4 linked regions of the Oryctolagus cuniculus genome follow. The protein of the gene in region 4 interacts with the protein of the main gene of each other region in a pairwise test. Links are inferred from orthologs where the notes say so. Each region holds a gene or a part of one and is shown on either strand. Other genes may lie near its edges.

Evidence for each region. The genes of interacting proteins can lie anywhere in the genome.
Region 1: the proteins of TRIM23 (region 4) and COX5B interact in binary tests that used the Homo sapiens proteins (3 or more experiments, as listed by UniProt). The two-hybrid records come from large-scale screens. The link is inferred for Oryctolagus cuniculus from reciprocal best matches to the Homo sapiens genes TRIM23 and COX5B.
Region 2: the proteins of TRIM23 (region 4) and LGALS8 interact in binary tests that used the Homo sapiens proteins (3 or more experiments, as listed by UniProt). The link is inferred for Oryctolagus cuniculus from reciprocal best matches to the Homo sapiens genes TRIM23 and LGALS8.
Region 3: the proteins of TRIM23 (region 4) and GPKOW interact in binary tests that used the Homo sapiens proteins (3 or more experiments, as listed by UniProt). The two-hybrid records come from large-scale screens. The link is inferred for Oryctolagus cuniculus from reciprocal best matches to the Homo sapiens genes TRIM23 and GPKOW.

What each region holds. Positions count from the first base shown.
Region 1 is NC_091433.1:110,723,397-110,727,093, reverse strand, and holds COX5B (cytochrome c oxidase subunit 5B, mitochondrial), read left to right. Parts: upstream 1-1,286; 5' UTR 1,287-1,417; coding exon 1,418-1,520; intron 1,521-2,083; coding exon 2,084-2,157; intron 2,158-2,341; coding exon 2,342-2,441; intron 2,442-2,987; coding exon 2,988-3,100; 3' UTR 3,101-3,186; downstream 3,187-3,697. UniProt on the Homo sapiens protein: Component of the cytochrome c oxidase, the last enzyme in the mitochondrial electron transport chain which drives oxidative phosphorylation.
Region 2 is NC_091444.1:61,238,296-61,242,584, reverse strand, and holds the start of LGALS8 (galectin-8), read left to right. Parts: upstream 1-1,478; 5' UTR 1,479-1,835; intron 1,836-3,317; 5' UTR 3,318-3,427; coding exon 3,428-3,469; intron 3,470-3,863; exon of another isoform or gene 3,864-4,085; coding exon of another isoform or gene 4,086-4,103; intron 4,104-4,289.
Region 3 is NC_091453.1:34,252,571-34,256,551, forward strand, and holds the start of GPKOW (G-patch domain and KOW motifs-containing protein), read right to left. Parts: upstream 2,812-3,981; 5' UTR 2,778-2,811; coding exon 2,602-2,777; intron 1,829-2,601; coding exon 1,674-1,828; intron 1,569-1,673; coding exon 1,444-1,568; intron 1-1,443. UniProt on the Homo sapiens protein: RNA-binding protein involved in pre-mRNA splicing. As a component of the minor spliceosome, involved in the splicing of U12-type introns in pre-mRNAs.
Region 4 is NC_091445.1:86,565,544-86,569,055, reverse strand, and holds part of TRIM23 (E3 ubiquitin-protein ligase TRIM23), read left to right. Parts: intron 1-485; coding exon 486-607; intron 608-3,512.

The DNA.
Region 1 (3,697 bases), on a different chromosome or scaffold from region 4:
GCCTTTAACATGTTGATTTGCACGTCCAAGAGGGTGGTCCTCACAAGCAGGACTGTCCTATCTTGGCCAATTCCTTTTTTCTGACCGCACATCTTGAGCCTTGGATTCCATAGAGTACTTCGGAAAACAGTATCCTCATCTGATTATCGTTTCACTGATTAGGACAAGGTGGCCAAAAAGAGAAAACAAAACAAAACAAAATCGGACTGAGCTGCCTGGTAGGGCCAGCTGTTTTCCAGACCAATGATTTTTTTTCTCACCAAACACCAAACCACAGGTACAAATCAACGATAGATCCTTGGGGACCATTCCTTGGTTTTAAATAACTTCCCTTCTGTGTAATCTAGAGGAGTTGCAGTGGATGTAGGAAGAAGGGGGCAACACTCAAAGCAAAACCCACCTTTGAAGAGGATCAAGTCAAGTCTGGTCTCAGGATAGAGACCATTTTTCTCCCCTTGGTGGAAAGGGCACCCAGGAAGACCACATGAGCTCCCCTGAAGGAGGAGGTCCTTTTGAGTATCATAACCCGTATGGGACCTCCACTCTCCAACCTGCCTCAAATTGCCCTATAAACCGATCCTGTATCCTCCGTCCAAGTACTAAAAATGCTATATATGCCAGGCCTCTGCAAGATACGTAACTCCACGATGATGCGGTATCATTTCCACTCTGAAGGGATTTTCCATCTGGTAGGGAACCGCAGACTTGCTAACACTTGATGCGAACCAAGCGGCGAGGAGTCGACAAGGAGGAAAGCGTTTCCCAAGGCTCTCCATGCCCACCCTAAGCCTGAAGGTAAACGGGGAGTTATTGGAGGATGTTGTCGGTTTTAAACAGAACTCTGGCCACACAGTGCGTTCTGCGACTCCACTTCCCATTATCACTTCCCCTTCCTGCTCCTCTCCTCCCCTCATCTTTTCCTTAGTTAATAACCCGCGGAAGGGTCACTCCCTCACCTCATATCATCAAAGGGCCTTGGTCCTGGGAGCGGCCACCTCTGGCTCTAGCCTCCTGCTCATCACCAGGGGGCTCATTACCCTACATAGTACACCTGTATAAGTAATTGGTACTAACGCAAGTCTCCTGACAGACGCTGACTTAAAGACTTCCGTCCGCAGCCTCCTCAGTGACCCAACCATCAGGTAAGACGCACAGCAACTCCCATTCGGCTGGGTCACTGAATTGTCCAAACCCCAGGGTTACCAAAAACCAAACCTAAAGACCCGCCATTGACGGGGCCCGAACCCGCGTCTTTGCAGTGCTGGGCATGCGCAATCTCCCCCACGAAACCGTCACGTGGACTCGGGAGCTGGTAGGAAGCGGAAGACTAACCAGGAGGAGAAAGAAGCCCGCCCCCGGAAGTCCCGCCCATCTCTAGAGCTTGTTCCCGGAAGTGGCGCTGTTTGTCGCGGGCGTGATGGCTTCAAGGTTACTTCGCGGAGCTGGAGCGCTGGCTGCTCAGGCCCTGAGGGCCCGCGGACCCAATGGAGCGGCTGCCGTGCGCTCCATGGCTTCTGGAGGTACGCGGCGCAAGGGACCGGTGTCGTTGCTCTCCCGGGGTGGTTGGGGCTGGGGCAGGAAAGCGGGTCGGGCTCTGCAGCCCCTCTGGGCCCCAGTGGCCACCTCTCGGCCCCGAGTGCATCAAGCTCTGCGGGCGTCGCCCTGTCATTTCGGGCTTCCGCTACTGCCGCCCACCGAGCTGACCCCGCAGAGTAAGACTCCTCAGCAGAGGTGCCGGATGACCTTGGAGGGCAGGGATTGCAAACGGGATGGAGCGGGACCGGGCTGCCCTTCAAACCCGCGCCCACTCTGAGCCGAGTGGACTCTGGTTGACCAGCTTTTAGAAAAATGTCGAAAAATCGGTTTTGGTGGTTGGAGGTGTGGAGAGAGCAAAGCTTCCGCTGGTGCTGGTCTTTTGGGGCTCGTCCCTAGAGGATCCTGGGTATCTGCAGCCTTTAGGAGCCCGTGAGCCCAGTAAAACATAGACAGGAGCTCGTGTGTGGCGTTTTCCGTCTTGATCATTTGCAGCGTGCCTTTTCCTGTCTGGGTCGCTAAAGGACATAATGCACGTGTCTTCCTTTAGGTGGTGTCCCGACCGATGAGGAACAGGCCACCGGGCTGGAGAGGGAGGTCATGATGGCCGCGCGGAAGGGACTGGTGAGGAGGGGCTCCCTTCTGTGTCTTCTGTGGTGCTCATGGGTCTGGGATGGAATCGGGGGAGTCGCCAGTCCTCTCCGTGCATTTGATCCAGGCAGCCTGGCTTGTGGGAGCAGGCCTCAGCTCCGGGAGGGTAGAAGTCTTATGGCATAGTGGAGTAATTCTTTTTTTTTTTTTTTTCCAGGACCCATACAATATGCTACCCCCAAAGGCAGCTTCAGGCACCAAGGAGGACCCTAATTTAGTCCCTTCCATCACCAACAAGCGAATAGTGGGCTGCATCTGTAAGTCCCTGACACGTTTTCTTAACTATTTAAGTAGTATATTCTGTTTGGGACGGCTATAAGCTGCTTCACATCTCGTGTGTGTGTGTGCAACTCTATGAATGTAAAGAGGATGTGTGTATAACTAAGTTGTTCCCAGAGTCCTGGCTCTCACGCAGTAGGTCATCCTTACTGGAAAGAGGTGTGGAACAAGCAGCAAGACTGGCTGGCTGGAAGTGCATGATGAAGATGGAATTTTCATTCACAAATCTTGGGCAATGTTTTAGGCCCCAGGGATGCACACCAGAGTGGACCCCGTTTGGAAGTCTGTGTAGGCAAGGGTATTGCTAGAACTTACAGTGACCTTGCTGTAAGGTCGGTATATGTGCAGGTAGATGCAGGGCCTCAGTTCTTCATCTGGAGAGTAGGGAGGAGAGTTTGAACTGATGTCCTCAGATGTCAGCCACAGTTTTATTTCTGTCTCCGAGGTGTCTGGGTAAAAAAGGTCAATGTTGAAAGTCTCTCTTCTTAGACCGGATGACTTTCAAACTCCTTTTGTCCTTTCAGGTGAAGAGGACAACAGTGCTGTCATCTGGTTCTGGCTGCACAAAGGCGAGACCCAGCGATGCCCTAACTGTGGAACCCATTATAAGCTGGTGCCTCACCAGTTGGCCCACTGAGCCCCTGCGCTAACTTAATCAGAATGTGCTGTGAGGTTTCTTCTTCCCAATAAAGATTAGCCATTGTATTGGCTCCTCCTCCCGTAGGTGACTGGCTTTACTTCTTTGTTTTCTTTTCCTTTTTTTTTTTTTGTAAGATTTATTATTTTTCTTTGAAAGGCAGAGTTAAAGAGAGGCAGAGAGAGGTCTTCAATCCGCTGGTTCACTCCCCAGATGTCTGCAGCGGCCAGAGCTGTGCTGATCCGAAGCCAGGAGCTTCTTCCAGGTCTCCCATGTGGGAAACCCCAAGGACTTGGGCCATCTTCCACTGCTTTCCCAGGCCACAGCAGAGAGCTGGATCGGAAGTGGAGCAGCCAGGAGTTGAACCGGTGCCCATATGGGATGCTGGCACTGCAGGCAGCGGCTTTACCTGCTATGCCACAGTGCTGGCCCCCATATATTTTTGGGTGGGTGATTCTTACATTGGGAATAGCTCTCTGTTAATACCAGCTTGCTACTCACAGTCTACAACCAGTGTGCACTGCTTAGATTAAGTAGATTAACAACCCGGAATGCAGTGCTTGGGAGCACCTAGTGCAGGGGAAAAGACAGGCTGTG
Region 2 (4,289 bases), on a different chromosome or scaffold from region 4:
ACCAAAGGAGCCACCCAGGCACTGCCAATTACATCATCAAATTTTAATTTTCTCCAATACATCTCTATCTGTGTCCCCAACTAGAATTTAGTAATACTGCTCCATTGAAGCAAGAACAATCAGTCTTTGCCCTGGAAGAGTCTGATAAGTGAAGTCAAATACAATAAAAATATAAATTAAAAAGCATATTAGAAAATGGTACATATGATAAAAATAAACAAGTGATAGGGATTATGTGTATGTGTTGGGGTGTTTACAATTTTAAGTACCGTGAGATCAGAAAGGGTCTCTGAGAATGACATTTGAGTAGATTTAAGAGAACCAAAGGAAGCGTGGAGCACCGAGGTTCTGAGGTGGGAGTGTGACAAGCATGCTGTGGGGATAGCTGTGGGGCAGTGTGGTTGCTTCAGAGTGAAGAGGAAGCAGAAAAGGAAGTTGCGGTATGTGGGGATGAAGGGTGTATTGTGAAGTGCTCCTGTAAAGACTCACCTTTACTCAAAGGATGAGCATAAGTTAGTAGAAAGTCCTAGGAGAGGGTTAACATTGTCTGAACTACATTTTGTGGTGATCATCCTCTCTGTAGCCATTGTATTCAGAGTAGATTTCAGCAGAGCAAGTACAAAACCAGGAAGATCAATTAGGAAACTATTTTGGTAATCTAGTAAGATGTGGAGCTTTCAATCTAGAAAGTCCCGGGATGTCTTTATGTATTCCTTATCACCGTGCCTTGTCAGCACATTCAATATGTGCTTGTGTGTCTTAAATGAAAACACACTAGGCTCACTGCACAAAGTGACAAATGAGGAAGGTATTTCTAGGAATAGGTTCTTAGCATTTATGTGTGATTAAAACCAGAAATACTTTGCTAATACTGGGTTTCTGGCACTTTGACTCAGTCCCATTTATACCTAAACACCACTTAGCTTAATAAAGAAACAGCAATGATTTGTATTTAACTTATTTTGACCTTGCAAAGAAGTACTAGACAAACCCAGGCAAAATTGTCAGGACACTCAATTGCTCCTCACTTACCAATTACCTAACATTTCAACCTAATTTTTTGGTGTACATTTCAAATAAAGCATCACACAGGGCACTGGAGAATGTATAAGACAAGCTTCTTTGCTCAATGTACAATCAAGTTGGATGGATAAAACTCACACCTCACAGGTAGCAAATCTGAGGTAATGCAATGCATATCTAGAGTTAAACTATTTAAGTTGGATCTTGAGGAATGAATCAGAAGTGGAAAATGGATAGGAAGTAAGAAAACACTGGTGAACCAGAATATGAGTTGCTGCTCTGGGACTTGCAATGAATTCTTCACCTTAAATTTAAAAATATTAACAACAAAAGGAGGAAGCTCATTGTAACACTATGTCTTTGAAAACACAGGTGGTTAGAAGCCAAGAAGAGACTAAATATAGAGATCCCTTATATAAAACACTAAGCAGTCAGCCATTCAAAAGTAGCCCTCCTACCTTCCCACTTCCCTCCCAGAGGAAGCCAGATGCACTCAGGAAGTTGCTAAAGACAAATCCTTCGTCCTAGTTCCTTTCTGCTCCTTCCACAGCAAGCCTGTCACCATTCAAGTTCCCAGAAGCTGTGCAGGAGGCCGAGCTCCCAGCCAGAAGTCCTCAGAGTTGGGGAGGACACCCGGGACCCGGACACTGGGCTGACAACAGGGATCAAGGAAGGCGAAACGAGAAATGTATGTGGATTGACTCCTCTCACTGCCCGTAGCCCTGGGCCTCCGGGAGCTGGGAATCCCGACGGCACCCTGCGGCGGACAAACTGTCGGCTACGTGGAGCGCCTACACCACCACCAGTCCTGGGTAAGTCGGGAGTCCGTCCGCCTCTGGGGGGTGACAGTCGCCAGGGGGTGTGGCTGCCGCGGTGGTCGCTTCAGCCGAGGAGGAATTCGTCGCTGTCCCTAAAGCAGTCTGATAAGTGGGACAGGGTCCGGTCCACCCTGTCGCCGGATCCTCACCGCGGCGGAGCCGGGGCTGGCTGGCGGGGAGCGAGCGAGGGGGTTATAGGGAGCCCCGGTTCTTCCTGGCAGCCCTGGCTGGGAGCGGGCTGTGTGCATCGGCTGTCGCCTGCCTCAAACCTGCTGTACCTAGGCTGCTGTCTCACCTGCTCCCTGCCAGCCCCAGGCCGAGCGCCACCTCCGAGAGAAGGAAGCCGGGGAGTTTCCTTCCCCGTGTTCTGGATGACCGGTCCTTGAACAGTTTGGAGTCAGACCCGCGTTGCTCCCCGCGGCCCCCTCGGCTCTGTGAATTCGGTCGGTCTTTTAAGATGCCGAGTCACTGGACCGCCGTGGTGAACGGTCAACCCGCGAGTCCTCTGCCTCTGATCGTCTGTGGCTTGTCGTGAAGCAGAGGAATTGTGTGTGATGGCAGGATCTGTGGCCTTGTGATTATTTCGGGAGGAACGACGGGTCTAATGCAAGCCTGCGGCTTAAATTTTGCCACTCTCTGATTATGTGAATTATGTATGTGGCTCTGGTGACTGTATCCATCCTTTCTGCTCTCCGTGCTTCCTGAGTTTCACGGAGCTGAATGAAAGTTTTCGGGGTTTTGACTATCGTGCGTGGGTAAACCCAGACAGATGCCGATTAAAAAAAAAAAAAAGGTTTGGGCAATGGGTATTGTCCTGTTACTGTATCGCAATAATGACAACAGCTGCAAGTGAGAGCTAGGAAGTTAGTTTCGTTTCTCCTTTCGTTCTGTTTATAACCATCTACTCTTCCGTGGAGATAATGAATGTAGTGCTAATGAGCACAGTTGTCTTTAAAGATATGGCAAATGTCCCCACACACTTTTTTCACAACAGAAAAAAACTGGATCTTCTTTGTATTCAAAGGGTTGTTCTTTTTTATCCCTCCTTATGACTTGTTTAGTTTGGAGTAGAAAGAATGTTCCTTCTACTCATAGTAATAACTCACACACAGCACATGCTGTTCTGCGGTTTTGTTAACTCATTTCATCTTCAGTATGAATATTATTCCCATTTTATGGACAAGAAAAAAAAATGAGTACCTCTGATGGTTGTATTTACCATTATATTGTTTGCAGAATTTTTAATAATAAATTCCATGTTAGAAGTTTTCTACTGATATTTACCAAAATTTTTTTGTGCTTATACTCAAATTATTTAGTATTTAAGTGTACTAGTAAGAATGGGTTCAGTTCTTTGAATGTAATAACATCTTACTCTTTGGCAAATATCAGTAAATAACATTACATTTATAAATAGTTACGATATGAAAAAATACATGCTTATTTTTATTTCCCTGCATTTTTATTTTTACATAGGGCAAGTGCCTCAGTTTCAGTCTGGGTGACCTTTAAGTGAAATTTGCTTGCCATCTTAGTTCATACACAGAAAACTGCAATCAACAAAATCAACAGGTCGAAGAAGAACGATGTTGTCCTTAAACAACCTACAGAATGTCATCTATAACCCGGTAACTGATTTCTGTAAACTCACTCTTTACTGCTGGGACGATTGATAGCAAATCCAACTGAACAGTAATGTCAGTATTCAGTGGCGAGGAGAAGGAGAAGGAGAAGTAAGGGTCTTGTCCAGTCCATGCTGGTCCAACAGCCCCTGAATGACTGTAGTTGCTGAAAATTTGTAATGAACATCTGGGCAATAAAAAGCTTGCTATAGTGCCAGGTGGTGGTGAGAGTCTTCAGCAGTATCTGGTCTCCACTTACCTGCAGCTGAATCATGAATTTGGACACTTGCTTTCTCAACAACCCCCCTAGGAAGTCATTGGCCAATATACAGGGTGAGAGGCCTCAAAGCAAGCGCCGATTAAAGTGCATGGACTCAGGCTTTTGTTGTTTATTTTGTAGCTGCAGTTGTTTTCCCCCTAAGTATGAACGTCATTGTGCAAGAATAAAGTGCAAAAACTGGATCAAGCAAAAGCTCGGTTTCAGAAGACCCTTCAGCAGTAGTAGGTTGAAAAAGGAAGTGTCACAGAATCTGAAGCCAGTGAAACACTTAAAATGCTTTTGTGGGGGTAGTTGTGGACTGACTTCCTGCAAAGATCGGAAAACAAAACCAAAAACAGGCTGATGCTAAGAGGGGCTGAGGTGTGTACTTGGCTCAAGCTGGATGGGTTATGGGTTATGCGTTCGCTTTTGCCCTTCACACACACAAGATGCTTTATTTCAATGTTATTTAAGAATAATCTTATAGATTAAAATCCCTGTATATATTATTTTAAAAAAGATTTATTTATTTGAAAGGCAGAGTTACAGAGAGGTGGAGGCGGGGTG
Region 3 (3,981 bases), on a different chromosome or scaffold from region 4:
GAGTGTTGTGAGCAGAGAGGACAGTAAGAGCAAAGGCTCTGAGGCCAAACAAAACTCGGTGTGTGTGAAGAGTATTATGAAAATCAACATGACTGGAACAGGGACATGGGGGCAGAGGAGCATGGGTAAGGGGTCAATCAGGAGAGCTGGGTGCAGGAGGCAGACAACCTGCAGGCAGGTGGAGGTCACATGAGGGGCCAGCGAGAAAGTCACTGCAGTCGTCCAGATGTGCGGTGCTGGTGGTGATGAGAAGTGAAATTCTGGATGCATTTAGAAAAAAGGCAAAGACGGCGTTGACAGATCATACGTGGGGGTATGACAGAGAGAGGGAGGGGCAAAGATGACGGCAAGGTTTGGAGCTGAGGGAGAGGAAGGACTATGGAAGTGTGATCAATTGACAGGTGGAAGGCTGCTGGAGGGGGCTTGTCAGAGGGAAAATGAGAAACAAGGCCAGAGCTGGAACAGGATGAAGAGTAAATGGAGGGTCTTTGTTTGTTTTTTAATGAAAGACACCAGAGCACAAATGAAGGTGGATGAGTTCACTTCTAATCACCCCAGTTAAAGCCAGGATGGTCGATGCTCTGTGGCCATAGGAGAAGTAGGCCCTGAGGAAGCAGTGCAAAATACTTATGAATGAACAGGTGAGAAGTCGAGTCCAAGATATGGACAGACTTGCTTACTTCCATGGCCCTGCCGCTACCCTTTCCTGTGGTCGCTTCCCGTCGTTACTCCTTCAATCCTTTCATTCACTCATTCCAGACACACAAGTTGTCTCACTAACAGACACACCACACAGCCTTCCTGCCATGGCCTGCTCGGGCAGCTGCTACCATTAGGAATACTCACCCTGCTCTTGCCTCTCTCGCTAAACCCTACCTCGCCTTCTCTCACGCCACTTGGATCTGAGTCCTTACCATCTCTGGTCTAGACTGCTGGGCTCCCTGCTTCTACCTTCACTTACTAGTCTGTTGTGTTCACAGTAGATTCTGTTGAATCATAAGTCGCATCCTTTCTCTGCCTAGGGCCCACCCATGGCTATCATTTCATTCAGGGTAAAAGCCAAAGTTCTCATCATGACCCACAAAGCCCTGCCTGGTCTCGCCGCACCCCCTCCACTGCCACCTGACTTCTCTTACTAATTCCAGTCCAGCCGCGTTGGTCTCCTTGGTGTTTGTCAAACACTCCAGGCAGTGTCCACCCTCATGGCTATTATATTTCCTCTTCCCTCTGCCTCTCACCCCATTCAGACAATCCTAGGATCCAACTTCATATTCCAATATCTGGATTCATGTGTTAATGTTCCCAAAAAGGCTGGAAGGAGGAAGAGCTAGGCAGTAGGCCTCCAGTGTACACACAGACTTTCTTTGCTGTGTGTAAGAAGGCATGCATGGCAGACAGGGCAAGGAGAAACCAAGGGAGCAAGGGGGTAAGGGGCCAACTCACAGTTTCAGCTGAGTGTTCGCTGTCTACCCCTTCCTTGTTGGAGGTGTATCCTTTCTGGATCATGGGGATAGTGAGCATGGAGTCGGCATTTGCATTCTTTCTTTCTTCCAGGGACTTCTCGGTTTCTAAGGAAGAATGGGAGGGAGCAATGAGGTCCCACCCCATGTATCTTCCACCTTCTTCCTTGTCTTTCTTCACTGGAGCAGGGTGGGGAGAGGGGGCCCACTTACCCTCAATCAGTTCCTTCACAGCCTGGGACAGCACCTCATCCATCAAGGTCTTGGTGTCTGTGGATAGCCCAGAGGGCTGGACCAGGGGCTGCCTGTGATAGCCATTCTGAATCAAGGGAATGACAGGTTCCTTGGGGACCTCTGAGGGCTTCACACTGATGTGGACAAAGAAAGGTAAGGTGAGGAGAGAAGCAGGGTCCGTGGGTTCCAGCTACACCCCCCCTATGCAGAGAAACACAAGAGCCAAGCCCCCTCCTAGCTCCATGGACCATGCCTCTGATTGCACGTCATTGTCCCTCCAGCCCTTAAATGACAGTATCTTCCAGGAATCATTGCCAGGCCGTCTGTTCATCCCAAGAACTACAGATGACCATTTGCAGCCAGACTCTTCCCAGCTCCAGAACAGCCTCCTAGGCGGTTGCTTCTCTTCTGCGAGTCCCTCCCTCAGGCACTTCAGCCTCTTCTTTCCTAAAGATGCTGATGCGGCCTCCCTCAACCTGAATCTGCAGCTCCATCTCGTTCCCCGTATTAGAGTCGCCCCCATTCACTTTAGCTGAGACAACAGGGTCCTGTAATTATTCCCTCTTTCCCACTTATCTGAACGCACACACCAGAGTGTCCCAGCATCATAAAGGTATTCCCTGTCATGAATGTGAGGGCATTTCAAAAAGTCCATGGAAATGAATACTGAAATAATGCGCATTTCCCACGAACTTTCTGAAGTATCCTTATACATCTTCTCAGTCCACACGGCCATGAAAAGCAACTTCCCTACTTCTCCCACAAGCTCCTGCCTTCTCTCCTCCACGGATTTCCTGAGGCCGTGGTTCAGGCTTTCCAGGCCACTGTCATCAAAGCAAACTACTCGAGTCCTCCCGCTCGCACCCACGGCACCGATTTACAAGGGGCGAAAGACCCGGCGCTTCACCTTTGTAGCTGCCTCCCTTCCACGGTCTTCAAGAAATCCTTCTCCTCTGGGGCGGACTCTGCGCCATCACTTAGGGCCACCAGCCGCCTCCGAGAGGACGTACGAGTAAAGGCGAATGAAATTGGGGCAGTAGAAGGTGCAGTCGGCTGCAAAACACCATCTTCGGCGTCTGCCATCTTGCCCCAGTTCCCAGGCTGGTGCGCTGCTTGCTGGGAAGTTTAGTTTGGGTTCAATTCGCTAGCGGCAGTCAGACAAGCGCAAGAACTACATTTCCCAAAAAGCATTGCGGCGTCGGCCGACGAAACCAAACAACTAGCCGTAGGAAGTTATTGTAGCGCGTCTGAATTTCACAGGAATGCGCCTGCGCCAAGTATACCGGGAACTGTAGTTCCGCCAAGAGGCGGTAGCGGTAGAAGGTAGATTCCTTCTTCCCAGGAGTTCGTTTCTTCTTGTTTTAGAGAATGGTCTTGAAAACAGGTATTCCATTATTCTAACAATCTCATGGCTATGTTTCCAGTTTAGAAACCCTGGGCATCTTGGGATGGGCCCTGAACTCCCAAAGGAACAGCTACAGTAACTTTCAAAACAGAGCAATAAATTTTTAAAAAATCTTTATTCAGCAATACTTTTAGACTTACATGTCGCGAAGTAATACTGTTCTTTTTTTTTAAAAAAAGATTTATTTATTTGAAAGTCAGAGTTACACAGAGAGAGGAGAGGCAGAGAGAGAGAGAGAGAGAGAGAGAGAGAGAGGTCTTCCATCCAATTGTTCACTCCCCAGATGGCCACAATGGCCAGAGCTGTGCCGATCCGAAGCCAGGAGCCAGGAGCCTCTTCCCAGTCTCCCACGTGGGTGCAGGGACCCAAGGACTTGGGCCATCTTCTACTGCTTTCCCGGGCCATACCAGAGAGCTACACAGGAAGTGGAGCAGCCAGGTCTCGAACCGGTGCTCATATGGGATGCCGGCACTTCAGGCCAGGGCGTTAACCCACTGCACCACAGTGCCAGCCCCAAGTAGTGTTCTTTTATATCTTTTATCCAGATACTCTTAAGCTTTTTATATAACAATAGTATAATTATCAAAATCAGAATGATGCAATACTATTAGCTGTAGACAATTTTCTGTTCCAGAATTCAGAATTAAACCTAAGATCACATATTGCAATATAATTGCAATGCCTCCTTTCTCTTCTTCAGTCTTGTGGCAGCTTCTCAGTCTTTCTTGACTTCTAACTCTTGCAAAGTACAGTTCATTTTTTTGTAGAACCTTCCTCAGATAGGTTTGTCTGATGATTTCTCATTGTTGGACTGAGGTTATGAATGTTTGGCAAAAAATGATGCAGAAATGATGTGCCCTTCTAACTATATCATACTAGGGG
Region 4 (3,512 bases):
ATTCTAGCTTTGTAATACATGTTAGTGACTGCTGATGTAGTTGGAAGTCATTCTTTTAAAAAATTGCTTTAGAGTCCCCCATGTGCGTGCAGAGGCCCAGCATTTGGGCTGTCTTCCTCTGCCCATCCCAGGCCGTTAGCAGGGAGCTGGATCAGAAGTGGAGCAAGGGGGACCCGAACCAGCACCCACATGGGATGCTTGTGTGCTGTGCTGTAGATGGTGGCTTAACCCTCTATGCCACAATGCCAGCCCCATTCTTCTGTTTTTTTGTAAGTGAGCATTAAAAATAAATAAATAAACAAGAATAAAAAAAGAAAGCATTAACAGGCAATTTTTCTGGCCTAAAAAGAAAATGGAAATACTGGATTTTACAAATTTGACATTATTAATGACTAAACTATAAGATGTGAAAATTGCTTTGAGGTTAGATATAGAGTGATTAATATTCCATTTTTTTAGATTTAGTTTTTTTTTTCTATCTCTAGGAGATTCTGGAGTCTGGGGATTGAAAAAAAATTTTGCTTTATTGGAGCTCTTGGAACGACTGCAGAATGGACATATTGGTCAGTATGGAGCAGCAGAAGAAGCCATTGGGATATCTGGAGAGGTATTGATTGAACTTGGTGAAATATTTGTTGTGAACATGAATTTTTCTTTGAATTAAAAATTTTTGCCATTATTAAACAATATTACCTCATTTGCTTCAACAGATAGATTTCTAGAAACACAACTTTTCATTACATTACAGTTCTGAAGGCAGTATCTTTCCCAACAGAACAGAACTAAAACTGAAACTTGAATTATTTGAATTGAATTTTTTAAAAAAACATTTATTTATTTGAGAGGCAGAGTTACAGAGGGAGAGACAGGAAGTTCTTCACTCCGCTGGTTCACTCCACAAATGACCACAACGGCCAGAGTTGGGCTGATCTGTAGCCAGGATCCAGGAGTTTCTTCTGGGTCTCCCATGTGGGTGCAGGGCCCCAAGCACTTGGGCCATCTTCCATTGCTTTCCCAGGCCATTCACAGACAGCTGGATAAGAAGACGAGCAGCTGGGATGTGAACTGGCACCCATATGAGATACTGGCACCACAGGCGGAAGCCTAACATAGCATGCCACAGTGCCAACCTTTGAATTTAATTCTTTGAAGATAACTAAGACTAACATATTTTTTGTGTGAAATTTTTCTCCTTATCGTAATTTAATTCTACCCATGGATAAAGTGAAAAAGAGTAAGAAGATGATAGAAGAGTAAAAAGGTTGTGTCAGCTACAGTGGAGCAGAGAAAGCAAAAGTGGTCAAAAATAAAGCACCACAAAAGAAAGAGAAACTCCCACCAGAGGCCTTTTAATGTTAAGACAAAATCCCCTGCCCCTGCCCCCCCCCCCCTTTATTTAAAGATTTACGTATTTTATTTGAAAGGCAGAATTAGAGAATCTTCCATTTGCTGGTTCACTTCTCAAATGACTGCAATGGCTGGAGCTGGGCCAGGCAGAAGCCAGCACCTGAAACTCCATCTGATCTCCCACGTGGGTGGCAAGATTCTAAGCACTTGAGCCATCTCTCACTGCTTTCCCAGGTGCATTAACAGGGAGTTGGATCAGAAATGAAACAGCTGGTACTCAAGCTGGTGCCCATATGGGATGCCAGTATTGCAGGTGGTAGCTTGCCAGCCCCAAGGCAAAGTCCCCTTAAGTAGCAATAGCCTCTGAGGAAATTATTACTAAATATATTCAAGAATTATGTGTAGACATATTCTCTTTGTGCAGACAAGCAGATGTCTACTAACTACTAGAAAAAATTCACTAACATTGCATTTTAACAATGTTAAAATACATTTTTAGCACTTAAGGAATTGTCCGCATACCTTATATAGTACAAGATGTGGCTTGCTTAGGCTGTTCTAGATAGGAGAATATTTGTATTAAGTGATTATCAGTGATTTTGGTGACTGACTTTAAAGTCAAGTATTTTGTATCAAAGAAAAAAAGTTAGATTTCTATTTTCCTTCTACTAGATTAATTCTTAACATTAAAGTGAGTCAGTGAAATGAATTTCAAACTGAAGCACTCCTTTTTCTATGATTTTTGCAGTCTTCCATATTATTTTTTTTAATCTTTATTTTAAAAGGCTTTGAGTGTCATTTGAGGTTTGCTTTGTAGATTTCAGGTCTGGATAACAGAAGATGTGGATTTTTTGTTACAAATATACATTTCTTATAAACAAAGCTTGCCAATTTGGGATTTTTTTTTTTGTTTAATGTGATAATGAACACAACACCATTGATGTATTTTCTAATTTTTATTCCTGGAAAAATGTATAGTACATTTAGTTAAAAGCCTTCTAATTATGTCCTTTTAGTATTCAGTCAAAGTTTTCAAATCATTATTGAGTTTGACATAACAATTTTTTACCCACTTGAAATGCTTTTTAGAAAATTAGAACTAATATTTAGATGCATATATGGTGTTCTATTATTAATTATTTTTATTTGCTGAGATCAGTGGTTTCCAACCATGTATGTATGATAGACTCATCTGTGGAGCTGCTAGAATATACTTGTGTATATTTACAAAAGAAATACACAGGTCCATGCTTCACCTATAGCCTGTTGAAATAATGTCCCAATTTGGAACCTGTACATCTGTGTTTTTAAAACCTTTACAGATGACTTGGATGTATACTCCCAGGATAAATAGAATAGTATTGATGTGGTTTTTTTTTATTTATTTTTTTTTTTTATTTTTTGACAGGCAGAGTGGACAGTGAGAGAAAGAGACAGAGAGAAAGGTCTTCCTTTGCCGTTGGTTCACCCTCCAATGGCCGCCACGGCCTGCGCGCTGCGGCCGGCGCACCGCGCTGATCCGATGGCAGGAGCCAGGTGCTTCTCCTGGTCTCCCATGGGGTGCAGGGCCCAAGTACTTGGGCCATCCTCCACTGCACTCCCTGGCCACAGCAGAGAGCTAGCCTGGAAGAGGGGCAACCGGGACAGAATCCGGCGCCCTGATCGGGACTAGAACCCATTGTGCCGGCGCCACAAGGTGGAGCATTAGCCTAGTGAGCCGCAGCGCTGGCCTGATGTGGTTTTCCTTCCTATCCATCATCATGACAAGTAATACTTATACTTACATCATGGAGATATATTTAATGTCAGATTTTTTTTTAATCTTAAAAAAACTTTAACCTTTCTGTGGTCTAGTTTCTTGTGTGTAAAGTGAGGATATTTGATGGAAGAGATCTGTGCTGACTGTACTGTACTGACTGTGATATTTATGAGAATATGTGATGGACTATTTTTGGACTCAAATTCATAATAGGTATTGGTAATCTATCCTGGAAATAGCTTCTCGCTTACCTGTAGAAATGAATGCTTTCTTAGATGAGTGACTAATGTCTCTTGTACATAATTATCAGTACATTTTCATGTAAAAGTCTGATTTGTTAAAAAAGATCATGGGCTTTTGTATTTTAAAATCTGTCATGTTATAATGATTGAATTCAGTTTTAAGA